Saccharomyces cerevisiae S288C: one gene and its partner. Each later gene encodes a partner of the first gene's protein in a complex. Each region holds a gene or a part of one and is shown on either strand. Other genes may lie near its edges.

The links. The genes of interacting proteins can lie anywhere in the genome.
Region 2: MRPS8 (region 1) and RSM18 share a complex: the UniProt entries of both Saccharomyces cerevisiae proteins name them as parts of the mitochondrial small ribosomal subunit.

The regions. Positions count from the first base shown.
Region 1 is NC_001145.3:570,560-578,256, reverse strand, and holds MRPS8 (mitochondrial 37S ribosomal protein uS8m MRPS8), read right to left. Parts: upstream 6,010-7,697; coding exon 5,542-6,009; downstream 1-5,541. Other genes in the region: type I HSP40 co-chaperone HLJ1, read right to left, coding at 1-539; CVM1 (Cvm1p), read right to left, coding at 741-3,191; ATG16 (Atg16p), read left to right, coding at 3,329-3,781; YMR158C-A (uncharacterized protein), read left to right, coding at 4,926-5,063; AIM36 (Aim36p), read left to right, coding at 6,213-6,980; TPP1 (polynucleotide 3'-phosphatase), read left to right, coding at 7,241-7,697. UniProt on the Saccharomyces cerevisiae protein: Component of the mitochondrial ribosome (mitoribosome), a dedicated translation machinery responsible for the synthesis of mitochondrial genome-encoded proteins, including at least some of the essential transmembrane subunits of the mitochondrial respiratory chain.
Region 2 is NC_001137.3:253,471-258,848, forward strand, and holds RSM18 (mitochondrial 37S ribosomal protein bS18m RSM18), read right to left. Parts: upstream 918-5,378; coding exon 501-917; downstream 1-500. Other genes in the region: TPA1 (oxidative DNA demethylase), read left to right, coding at 1-192; JHD1 ([Histone H3]-lysine-36 demethylase), read left to right, coding at 1,186-2,664; HOM3 (aspartate kinase), read right to left, coding at 2,905-4,488; PIC2 (Cu/Pi carrier), read right to left, coding at 5,267-5,378. UniProt on the Saccharomyces cerevisiae protein: Component of the mitochondrial ribosome (mitoribosome), a dedicated translation machinery responsible for the synthesis of mitochondrial genome-encoded proteins, including at least some of the essential transmembrane subunits of the mitochondrial respiratory chain.

The DNA of each region.
Region 1 (7,697 bases):
ATGAACGGTGAGCCACCACGATTATTAGTATAAACTCTGAAACCACCGGGGCCTCCAAATGAAAAAGTGGAAGCAGAAGGCCCAAATGGTGAAGCGCCGAATGGGCTGCCGCCTGCGTTGAACAAAAAGTCGAATATGTCCTCTGGTGGTCCAGCTCTTTGACCACCGAAACGTGAATTGAAAAACATGTCTTCAAATCCGCCACCCATTGGAGACCCACCTGCACTTCCTCGGAACCCTGAAGCAGCACCTCTGGATGGCATTTGTCTATCGTCAGGATCCCTACCTATCCTGTCATAAATACTGCGCTTTTCCTCATTGCTTAGTACTTCAAATGCCCTATTAATTACTTTGAAAGCTTCTCCCGCTTTTGGATGAGAGTTTTTATCAGGATGCAATTTGATTGCTAGTTTTCTGTATGCCTTCTTGATCTCACTATCTGTGGCTTTCCTATCTACCTTCAAAATTTCGTAAAACTCATGCTTGTCTTTTGACAGTATTTCTAGCGCGATTTTTTCTTGATCCTCAGTGAAAGACATGTTCTTCCTATTATAGACCTTCCACAAGTTATATTGCAGAAACAGCGTTGCTGCTATTATGGCTTCTGGAAGTAGAGGTGTATGAAAAGAACTTCTGCCAGCTTCCTTTATGTTCTTCACGAATACTTTCCAGCCTACTCTGCGGGTTACCCACTATACAAATACCATAATATGTTACGCGGTCCGCTATATACGAATCTACTATGTACGTCGAACATCATTAATCAAGTTTTTGGGGTTGTCATACATGGCTAAAACGCTCAGGATATCACGTAGGTGTTTCAAACCCCTTGTTGGTGGAGACCAATCCTGGTAAGTTCGCCAAATCTCTGTTAATCTTCTCAAAGCTTCCACGGTGTCCCTCTGAAAAACAGGGCCAGAAGTACTCGTGGTACTATCCAAGAAGCAGTTTAATGAGATGGAGAGCCTCAACGCATGTGGTATCTCTCGCTGCGGTAAATTTTTCAATTGAATCAATTTGGAGAAGGAATCATGAATTTTCCATACCAAATCATATTGATTGACAGTATTCAATATGCTTGTAGGAGTGTCGAGGTCGATGTTTAAACGTAAATGCTTACGACTTAATGGGTTTTTCGTGAATATTGTATTGTACAGAAAGCATTTATAGACTTTATCGTCATCATAAATGTCTGAATATATCCTTACGAAATCCGAAGATTTTTCGTTTTGATACTGCACAAACTGCAAAAAATCCTTTACCGTAGAAATATTCTCTGGCAATAATGATTCCGATGATGAACCGAGACTTTCACCCTCCCTTTGGTCGTAATTGAGTTGATGACCATTCATTTTCCACTTACTGTCCATTTCTTGAAGCCAGATTTTGTTGCTGTTCTGGTACTGTTTCCTAATATTTGGAGGCAATGTGTAATCATTAAATGACCTTGAAATAAAAAAAGGACTTAGTAAATTAATTATGGGAATAAATTGTTTATATCCTAAATTCTCCGTTATCATCAAAATATCCCATAAGGTTATTTCGAAAAGTCTGTTGGTGGGAATCTTCAATCTCGATTCAAAATTAGGGGTCCTTACATGGACGTCATTAATGTTACTAGTTGCTTCATCATCGGTATCAAGGTTTAAATTATTAGCATTCTTTAAATCAATGCCCATGTACTTCCCATTGCACCATAAATTTCTCAAGATTTTAGGGTGATTATAATCTATAGCAAGTTTTTCTGAAATTGTCATAAAATTATCATAAAGCTTACCAAAAAATGTCAGTCGAAACGTATCCCAATTGAACAAGAGCCAATCCAATGCATCCTGAACTAGTTTAGATTCACTAGAATCTATCCGCCTATAATTTTTGATTTTAGATAATGTGTCTTGTTGCTTTTTGTCAATGCCCTGAAATAACTGTTTTTCTTTGATTTGTTGGCTCTTCGTTGTGAAATCATTATTTGAATCATGATCATTACTATCATTTTCGTTAGTACTGGAATTGGAACCCAAGTTATTATAACTATTGCTAGTAAAGTCAGTGCTGTGGTCCCAAAATCGATAGCCTTGTAAACATGACTGGAAACTCAATACACTCACTGTAGTGTTTTCATCAAACTCTAGAACTTCATTATTTTGCACGATATATTTCGCTAATAGCAAAGTTAAGGGAACGCTGTGATAAACGCCCACAAAAAAAATTGAATCTACCTCTTTGAAAAGATGAGCCCAGTGGTTCAGTAACTCTACACATTCTTTATATGTAGGTATTAAATCTTGATTATGCAGTGGGCACTGGAACGATAGGGTCAAGACTCTTTGAGGTTGTTCTTGCGCTAGATTTTGTGACAATTTTCTAGAAAGATAATAAGCCGATCTTTGTGATTCTAATGAGCGCTGCTCATACTTTTCTGGTAAATCCCCCACGACGGATATTATAATAATTCTCTTATCCTTCAGTAATGCGGTTTTTTTTTGTCTTAAATAGAGATGTTGCTCATTAGGGAAGTTATAGTAATTTTTGATAGTATTCAATACCTTAGTTCTTAGTGGTTGGACGTGCAGAAAATTCAAAGGGTTATCTGATGGTAGGATTAAAGAATCATTAATAAATACATTATACCCAGGGTTACCTCCCTCCCCAGGATATTTGTTTAATGGCAATGGGCATTTGGCTGATCCTGTACCAGAGACACTGATTATTCCTGGGGTATCTATGGAATCAATTATGTTTGATGAATTTGATATATGTGGAATTGCTTCGTACCAACACCATGATTTCGACTTTTTTGAAATTATATCCTTAGCCTCATTTTCCAAGAAGTTGATTTGTTCAGTGTTTAGTTGAGAGTAGCGGGTATTATCATCAACAACAATTGGGGCACTTCTATATCTGGATGTTGCAAAAGAAGCGATTTTAGACCATATCCCTTTATTGTCATTATTCGAGTTCACGCTATCTTGAAAATCCGTTGTCGGACTACTCCTTCCTTGTCCATTAGGATATTCTGCAATTCTTCCCGTGTTTGGCTCATCGTCGGCAGTGGAATTCCACCAGGGTTTCCATCTGTTTTGTTGTCGTGGACGTTGGGGTGGGACTTCCTGCTGGTCCTCTCGTATCTGCTGCTGCTCTTGTGTTTGATGCTGCAACTGTTTATCCTGTTTCTGCTGCACAACATCCATTATAATAGCGTTTTATATGTTGTGCTAAATTGCTACTACACTTGCTCGCTTTTACTTATTCTGTTTGTAGTTGACCTTTATTTAACGTTGATTTTTGTTATTAACCTGCGCGAATCTGTATTAAGGGCGCATATTCCATGGGCAATTTCATTATAACAGAAAGGAAGAAAGCAAAGGAGGAAAGAAGCAATCCACAAACAGATAGCATGGATGATTTGTTAATTCGTAGACTAACAGATCGAAACGACAAGGAGGCCCATTTAAATGAGTTGTTTCAAGATAATAGTGGCGCCATTGGTGGCAACATTGTCAGCCATGACGATGCTTTATTGAATACACTGGCAATTCTACAAAAAGAACTGAAAAGTAAGGAGCAAGAAATACGAAGATTGAAAGAAGTTATTGCGTTGAAAAATAAGAATACGGAAAGGTTGAATGACGAATTGATTAGTGGAACCATTGAAAATAATGTTTTACAACAAAAACTCTCGGATCTGAAAAAAGAACATTCCCAGCTAGTTGCGAGATGGCTAAAAAAGACAGAGAAAGAGACAGAAGCCATGAACAGCGAAATAGATGGAACGAAATGATGCATCAGTTGTCAAATCGTCACAAAATGCATACAAAAGAAAATAAAATCATTGTGGTGCATATACATGGACAGAATATGAAACGCCAAAGTGTTTGCAATAAAGAGGTGAAAATATGTTAAACATGCTATAGAGAGTACACCTGCAAGTTAAGAAAATGCCATTCGTGTTTTTATCTACTATAATGTAATGTGACAGCTGTTTTAAACCTTTCTTAAGGTCGTTTGTGCGAGAACAGGCTTTTTTTTTGGAGAATGTATCTTGAGAGAAACTCAATAGTAATAACTGGATGCATAAAGAAAATTTCATATGAATCACTACAAATCTTTGGCGTTAGAATTCTATTGGGTAAATTGAACTTTGTAGCTTTTTGATGGTAAACTTGGCGGTTTTGCGCGACCCATGATCCTAAGAAACCCGCAGTTTCTATTAGGATTCACGATGGTCTTTATCTCACCTTCTATTATGTGTAAGTTGAAATGCCCCTTGCTGTTCTTATAGCAGAAAGCTTTTTTTTTCATTTATAGGACTAGCATTTTGGCATTGGAAGGGAAAAAATCATGCTTTCATTGAAAAATGAAAAGAAACATATCGTTATTTTGTGGGAACACTGAAGTATAATTTTTTGTTTCGGAAATTTACCATTGCATAGTGGGTATTTTCATCGAAAGTTGGCTAAAGAATGCATGCGGCCTGTTCATTCTGGTTATGAGCATTTCAATTGGTTAGTATATTGGCGTGAGTGGAAAGAATAGTGGATAAAAACTAAGAGACCCGTTCATTCTCCTGATACGATCTTGCGGTAAACCTTATATTTTTGGGGAGGGTACTGTAATATCTCATAACTCCGCGTATTATTGTGGATGTAACTTGTTGCTGATCCTCTCGCTGAGGCCATCATTATACGTGAGTCGAAGGATGGCCGAAATTTTATGATACTACACCGAAATTAAACCGTCGTCTAATTTAAGATGGCTGAAATGCAAAAACCTGGTTCTTTAAGTGGAAAATAGAAGACTAAATGGTTTCATTGCTATTTATGGTGCAAGAAGATGGCTTAAAGATTAAGAAGCATTAATCAGATTTAATGGAAGCTGAAGTGCAAAGGTTGATTATGTAGCGATCTCTAACGACAATTGTTGGAATGAAAATGAACTATCATCTATCAACTAGTAGTTACACTACCAGTATGTTATCATGTACGGTGTTAGATGATGACATAAGGTATGAGAAACTGTCATGGAAGTTAGACGAAGCTGAAATGCAAGGATTGATAATGTAATAACATAATGACACATATAAAACAGAGTGAAGAATAATCGTAGTACTATTATGTAGAAATATCAATTCCATTTTGAGGATTCAACCTAAAATTCATATGTTTTTCAATATTAAATATAAAGGAGCTAAGATTTGGCGTAGGATCTTCGTCTATAAATTTAGTTGCTGATAAATTATTCTCCATTGTTGCTTTTATTGAGTATTAAAGCATTTAATGCTAGAATCCTCCATAACAGACAGCTTCAGTAGCTCAGTAGGAAGAGCGTCAGTCTCATAATCTGAAGGTCGAGAGTTCGAACCTCCCCTGGAGCACATTTTTTTTCAAAACTTTTTATCACTGCTAGTAAAGGTAATGAATGAAGGACGTTACTGTAGTACTATACTCATCATCATTGTCTGCATTTTATAATATTATTATTTACATGGTCCGTATATTTTTTAATTACACGTATAAATACGGTCATATGTGATTGTTCTATTCATTTTACTCTGCATAGTACTTCTCCATCCAACTTTTTGGATATGGCTTCATTAATGTCCATAATGTTGTTATGAGCTCGAACTAGAATCAGTTCTCCTGGTTGTAGTGGTTTGATGTTTCTAATAGTTACGCCAGAGCATAGTTTCTTCATGTCTTCCATTGGCAGGTGTATTCTTGAATTTGGTTTGGAAATTAATTTGCAGCTGCTGAGGACAGGTTTGTTATCTCTATACTTCAATCCAACCCAAAGCCTTCTAGTAGAGATATTGTCTGGTGTTACTTCAACAAAATCTTTGTCTGGTCCCATAGTCGATCCCTTCTGTAAAGACGATAAGAACCCTTGTTGGTAAAGGTTATACGCAAACTGTAGCTGCAATTTCGTATATGGGATCGATGTTAAGGCAACTCTAACTTTCGAGCAGTTCTGTAAATGAGCACACGTATTCGCAAGTTTGACCAACGACATTTTGGGCGATTAGTTTAGATCGAAAAAAAGGTGTATGTGGTCGCTTCTTTGCCTTTGGCTTTCTTCTGTTTTTCCGTTCTTCTTCCTCAGTTTGTCGATTTAATTTCAAAAAGCGGTTTGTAAGGACTGCCGGTAAAGCTAAAATGAATGAATCCCCATAGGAAGATTAATACATAACGAGCCCAGATAAATAGACTACCTACATGTTGCGACCACTGAGAAAAAGCGTTCTAGCAAGCTGCCGACATTGTTTCAAGGTGTGCGGTGGGTTGCCTCAAAAGCAATTACCCTTATTTTCACCATTGCTCTTGAGAGCACGATACTCATCAACTGATAGCTCAACTAAAAGGTCTAACAAATCAGATAAAATAGATGCTCCAGGATTTAAGAAAATTTTCCTTGTTGCTATTATCGGTACAGTGATATTTGTCAAGACAGTACAGTCTTTAGATAAGAACAAACCGAAGACAACATTATCAGAAGAAGAATTCGAAAATGTGGTTAAAGGGTTGAAAAGACGTGTGGCTATCTTCCCACAAGGTGAGGTCGATATAAAGTTTTCCTTATCACCCAGCATTGAAGAAACTAGAAAGGTACTGCAGAAATCACAAGGCGATGATATAAATGAGCTGCAGTTTGTCGATCCAGTCAAGGTCATCGATTACTACAGAACCTTGAGGGATGATAGATATGAGGCTTTATTAAATGAATACTACAAAAAATACGGGTGTGACACGTACGCTTACAATTTGCCGACCGGTATGTTGGTCATGCTTTTGGGTAGATATTTCAAAGAGAACTTCAAGACCGGTGACAAGCTAGTAGTTGTGAACTTTCCTCATTCGATTGCTGATGCAACAAGATTTGAAAATGAGGTTTCTATAGTGTCTAAAATCTTTGTTCCGAGGAAATTGAGTGGCTCTGACGTCTGTAAATATTACGAAACTGTAGGTAAAGCTGATATCATCTGAGGATGTTTTCTTTTTTTTTTTTTTTTGGTTTCTTCTCCTTGTTAATAGCTTATATGTATATATATCTGGATATATGTCCTGAATATGCTGCTTATCTGTCATATAACATTCTCATTTTCTGTTCCCTTCATCTATGTGAATGAATTCTGTGCGTTTCTTTCGTTTCCCCTCTTTTGCGTATGGCTTTAAATCGATTTTAATCTGTAAAATCATCCCAAAATCAGATGGATAACATAGAAAACTGAACCGAAGGAAAGCCCATGTCCCACAAATTAACAATCCTGCCATTTCTGATTAAGTTCACGCCCAAGTTTCCACAATCCATTGATCACGACGAGCATGGTCTAAACGTTTATGCCTTTGATCTGGACCATACAATTATCAAACCAAAGTCCCCCAATATAAGTTTTAGTAGAAGCGCAAGTGATTGGCAGTTTATTAATTTTAACTCCAAGAAATCCACCCTGGATTACCTGTGTAATATCATTGATAATGATCCCACGGCCGTCATAGTCATATTTTCTAACCAAGGTGGTGTCATCACCGTCCCAAGAACTTCTAAAAGTTGCACCAAGTACACTAATAAAATTTTGCTATTTTTAAAGGCAATCAAAAACGATGAGAGAGGAGAAACGTTATCACACAGGTTATGGCTATATGCAGCACCTAAAAGGCCGAAAACTTTTGCAGCAAATCATAGTAAGATCACATTCGCAA
Region 2 (5,378 bases), on another chromosome or scaffold:
GATGACAGTGGTGATTCAGTATTGATTAATGATCCACCTGCTTGGAATACTTTCAATTTGGTCTTGAGAGATGAAAGTGTTTTGGAGTTTGTTAAGTACGTCAGCTGGAGCGCTAAATCTAGTAGATGGGATGTCAAAATGAAGTGGGATGTCAAATCATGTGATGAAGATGGTCAGGAAGATGAAGCGTAAACAATTAACCCGTCTTATTAAGTAAATGGCAGCTTAGATATTTATAAAGTTGTATAATAGAAGTAATAAAATTATTTGAAAAGTTATTCGTCAATTTCAGCTTATTCCTCTGGCGTGAATATCATTACCATAATCCAAATTCGAGTAAGCGAATAAAACGGGTATATTAAAGAAATATAAGAATGAATATAAGTTTAACTTAAGATCTAATTGCGATTCTTTTTACATATTGTATATTTACAGACAGAACTATGAAATGCCTTATTTTCTTAATTATTTCATGTGGAGAAGCATTAGTGTAGTACAGTTCACATTAATCCTATTGCCTGGCACCGTCTAATGGCTTTCGATAGTCTTCTTTGATTCTTTGCCGATAAGCCTGTGATATCCCTATGTTGGATTCTTCCCGTGGAGGTCACATATCTTGAAAGTATTCTTGGTCTTGCATAAAATTCTAGTGGATTTGCACCGGACTTCATTATATCGTTCCTGTTTGAGTTCTTGTTTGCCTGATATTTTCTATCTAAATGGATTCGTCCCATAGAGAAGTCAAATGGATCGTAGATAGTACCTTTGGGAAGTTTTTTGGACAAAGACTGATCGATTTTCTTTGTTTGTTGCGTTCTCCCCATTTCAATATTGACACTCTTCTTTTCTTTGATACCGAAATTGTATAGAGCACGTTTAAATGTGGAGCTTACTGCTCCCTTGATGATAGGTTGCATACCGTTTTGAATTTTTATGCCTGTGGTGGCATTCATCTTGAACATCCGAAGTTTTGTGTAGAACCTTGCCTTTTTGGTTAGAACTGTAACACTGTTAATAATGGACTCATATTTAAGTATGTAAAGTAATCCTAGATATTTTTTCCCCCAACAGGTTACCCTACAATGCAATTTAAAGGCATAATAGAACATCTAATAGAAGTGGGTGATTATAATGAGTAAGAAGACGTAATGATCATAAAACAAAATACTAATAAGCTATGGTGCAATGCAAGATCCCAATATTTGCCAGCATTGCCAGTTGAAGGATAATCCAGGCGCATTAATTTGGGTGAAGTGTGATAGTTGCCCGCAGTGGGTCCACGTGAAATGCGTGCCTTTGAAACGCATTCACTATTCAAATCTTACAAGTTCTGAAGTTCTGTCTTATCCAAATTCTGCGAAGCAAATCAAGAGCTACCGTTGTCCTAATCATAAGGAAGGAGAATATCTTACCGCATACGCTCTCATCACACAAAAAGGAAAGCGGCAAAGGAATAAAGAAAACCCTGAAGATAGTCATATAAATAAGCGGTATAATTTCAGAAAGAAGAAATTACTTGACTATATCGCTTTGAATGAGGGTGAATCGAAAAGGGATAAAATGAATCACCCTCATAAGGAGAGTTTCATGAAATCTTTTGAAAAATGGAAAAATGGCTCAAATATTATAAACGCCGCTGACTTTGCTGAAAAGTTTGATAATATAGATGTGCCGTACAAGATCATCGATCCACTGAATAGCGGAGTATATGTACCGAATGTGGGCACAGACAATGGATGCCTCACAGTTAATTATATCACCGAAATGATAGGCGAGGATTATCATGTTGATGTAATGGACGTTCAATCACAAATGAATGAAAATTGGAACTTGGGATCTTGGAATGAATATTTTACAAATACTGAACCAGACAGGAGGGATCGAATAAGGAATGTTATATCATTAGAAGTCTCTAATATTGAGGGATTAGAACTAGAGAGGCCCACTGCAGTTAGGCAGAATGATCTTGTTGATAAAATTTGGAGTTTCAATGGACATTTAGAAAAAGTCAATGGGGAGAAGGCGGAGGAGAATGACCCCAAGCCAAAAGTGACCAAATATATTTTGATGTCTGTAAAGGATGCTTATACGGATTTTCATTTGGATTTTGCCGGTACCTCTGTTTATTATAACGTTATCTCAGGACAGAAGAAGTTTTTATTATTTCCACCTACCCAATCAAACATAGATAAGTATATTGAGTGGTCTTTAAAAGAAGACCAAAATAGTGTTTTCCTCGGTGATATTCTTGAGGATGGTATTGCGATGGAATTAGATGCTGGTGATTTGTTTATGATTCCAGCTGGATATATTCATGCAGTTTATACACCAGTAGACTCTTTGGTATTTGGAGGCAACTTTTTAACCATCCGTGATTTGGAGACACACCTTAAAATTGTGGAAATTGAAAAGTTAACAAAGGTTCCTAGAAGATTTACCTTCCCGAAGTTTGATCAAGTGATGGGTAAATTATGCGAGTATCTTGCGCTTGATAAAAATAAAATCACTAGTGATGTCAGTGATGGGGATTTGCTTTCCAGGACCACTAATTGCGCAATTCAATCACTTCATGCATACGTTATAAAACCTGAAGTTAAGTACAAGCCGTTAAATTTCACTTCAAAGAAGCATTTAGCGAAAGCTTTAGCCGATCTTATTTCGTAAAATTTCTTCTTGTCCGCCACGTTCTTGTATCTTTTATTTCATCCTATGCTCTCGATGAATGAGATCTACTTTAGCAATTGATACAGTATAACCCTGACATTACATTTAGGGAATAATCGCCCCAATATAGGTTACAAAACATTAATATATATGTAAATATATGTGCGCGTATATATATATATATATATATATAAAGGGAAAATTAATATTCTATCATTAAAGTGAAGAAGAAAGGTGGATTTAAATTCCAAGTCTTTTCAATTGTTCTAAACGTTCATCAATGGCATGTTCAAATTGGTTTGAAGTATTTGTCCGCTCACTTAGTAACTTGGCATGAATACATTGTAGCGCTTTTATGGAGTCAGATTCATTGATAACGCAGGATATGTTTATTTCATTTGCCCCTTGAGAAATCATTTCAATGTTGATGCCTTCTTCAGCAAGAGTAGTAAACATGGTACCAGCAATGCCGATGTATTGTTTCATATGTTTACCAACTAATGAAACAATAGACAACTTCTTTGTGATATCAACAGAACCTAAAATTCTCAATTTTTCCTCAGCTTGTCTCAGAGATTTTAATGAGTCTGCATCTGGAATGGGCAAAGCCATCGAAACATGAACTTCAGAAGTAGATATTAAATCTACGACTAACTTGTACTTATCCAGGATGGTAAATATTTGAGCTAGGAAACCATGGGATAGGGTTTTCTTATTGGAATGAATGTTGATGACGAAAATGTCATTTTTGGTGGTGATAGCAGTGGCACCTCTCTTTCTCTTTTCATAGAAAGATGAGGATAAGTTCTCAGGAGGATGTGGTGGAGTAGATTCACCCTTCTTTGCTACATTATCTGGGTAGATAATGGTACCGTTACCTAATGGATTTTGAACATTCTTGATTCTAATAGGAATCTTAGCCCTAATAACTTGTTCCATCGTAAAAGGATGTATAACTTCGGAACCATAATATGTTAATTCAGAAGCTTCTTCTGGAGTAACACTGTCTAGCAAACGTGCTTCAGGAACCTTACGAGGATCAGCAGTAAATATACCATCAACTTCCTTCCAAACTTGTAGTTCATCAGCATTTACAGCAACTGCTATCAAAGCGGCACATAAATCGGTATAGCCACGACCAACACCATTCAGAAGACCAGTTGGAACTAAACCAAAAAACCCTGTAAAGACTGGAACGATACGCTCTTTAGCACTTACAAAGGGGGCCAATTTTTCTTTCAATGCTTGAACCAGGAAAGTGTAGAAACTGTTATCCAAAGCGCTGGCACTGAAATCAGAGGGAACAATGTGGCTCAAATCCACATATTTGGCCTTACAGCCACGGTCATTACATAAAGCAGTCATGAACAAACAACTCAACTTCTCACCACATGACATCACCAGATCTACTGTACGTGAACTCACTTCACCCAAAACTTTTGAAGCATTTAAATATTTCTTGACCAGTTCAAGTTCTTTATTGGTATCATCCACTAACTTGGCTTGCAAGGCAGGATTGAGAATGAAGCGGTCGGCATTATCGATATGGTCTTGTCTGATAACTTCGATAATGTCTTGAAATTCAGATTCTTGCGAAGCCAAATCACAACATTTCAAAAGACGAGAAGTGGTACCTTCAGCCTTGGTGTATGAAGAACGGGCGGAACAAACGACAGCGACATTATTGTTTGGGCCGTCAGGTTTAGAATAGTGCTTCACAATGTCATCCACTATTTGGACGGGAAATTTACCGACAGATGTACCACCGAACTTTTGCACGACCCAGTTCGAATGACTTGATGTAGGTTGGAAATCCATTGGCATGTAAAAGTTAAAAAAAATGAAAGCTTCTGTGATAAAATGCGATAGCTATGTGAGCTTAAGCGATGGAGAGAGTATTGGCTACACAAATATCCTTCAATGAGTAGAGCACTGTTAAAATAGAAATAAAATAATTATCCAGCAGTATTCTTATATATGGATATTATACATTATTTCTTCGAAGCTAAAAGAATCTCTGGAGAAGACTGCGTACGGAAAGTGAAAAAAAAAAAAAGTGATGATGAAATTTTCGTTTGCTAGTGAAAAAGAAAGAAAAGGTGAGTCATGGGCCTGAAAAATACACGTGGTTAGAGCCACAGTAGAGTAAAAAGTTGATATTAGGGGAGTTCTAGAAAGAAAAGGATCCTGTGAGACCAATGACAGTGATTGTAAATTGTGGGAGTGATATTTGATGTTACTATCAAATAAGGCCTCAGCCTCTGAATATGTTCACCTAAAAATTGTAGAAGATTCAATCGCGAGCGGCTGGCAAGTTTGGGCATGCATCGAGTATTGCCGTATATCGAAACTACCTTATAAATGTGTTTCTGATATGGCACTTTCAAAGTTTTCCTGGGCCTGTTCTTGGCTTGAGAAATTTGGCAATCATAACAAAACTCTTAGTATGAAAAGAAATTGTAGGACGAATATTTATTAAGACATATGCAAAGAAGAACAAACTATAAATGCCGGTCATTTACTAACTTTATGAAATCCTGTGTATACAATATTCCTCTAGCACAGAGTGTTTACGATAAACCTTGCCGATTGAATCGATCAGCTAACCGGTGGTTGGTAAGCCTACATAAGCCTTGAACGAATCGTAAATTAGCCATTGGAAACTTGTCAAAGTACCGATCATGACAATTCTCACCATTAACCCATTCCACAAC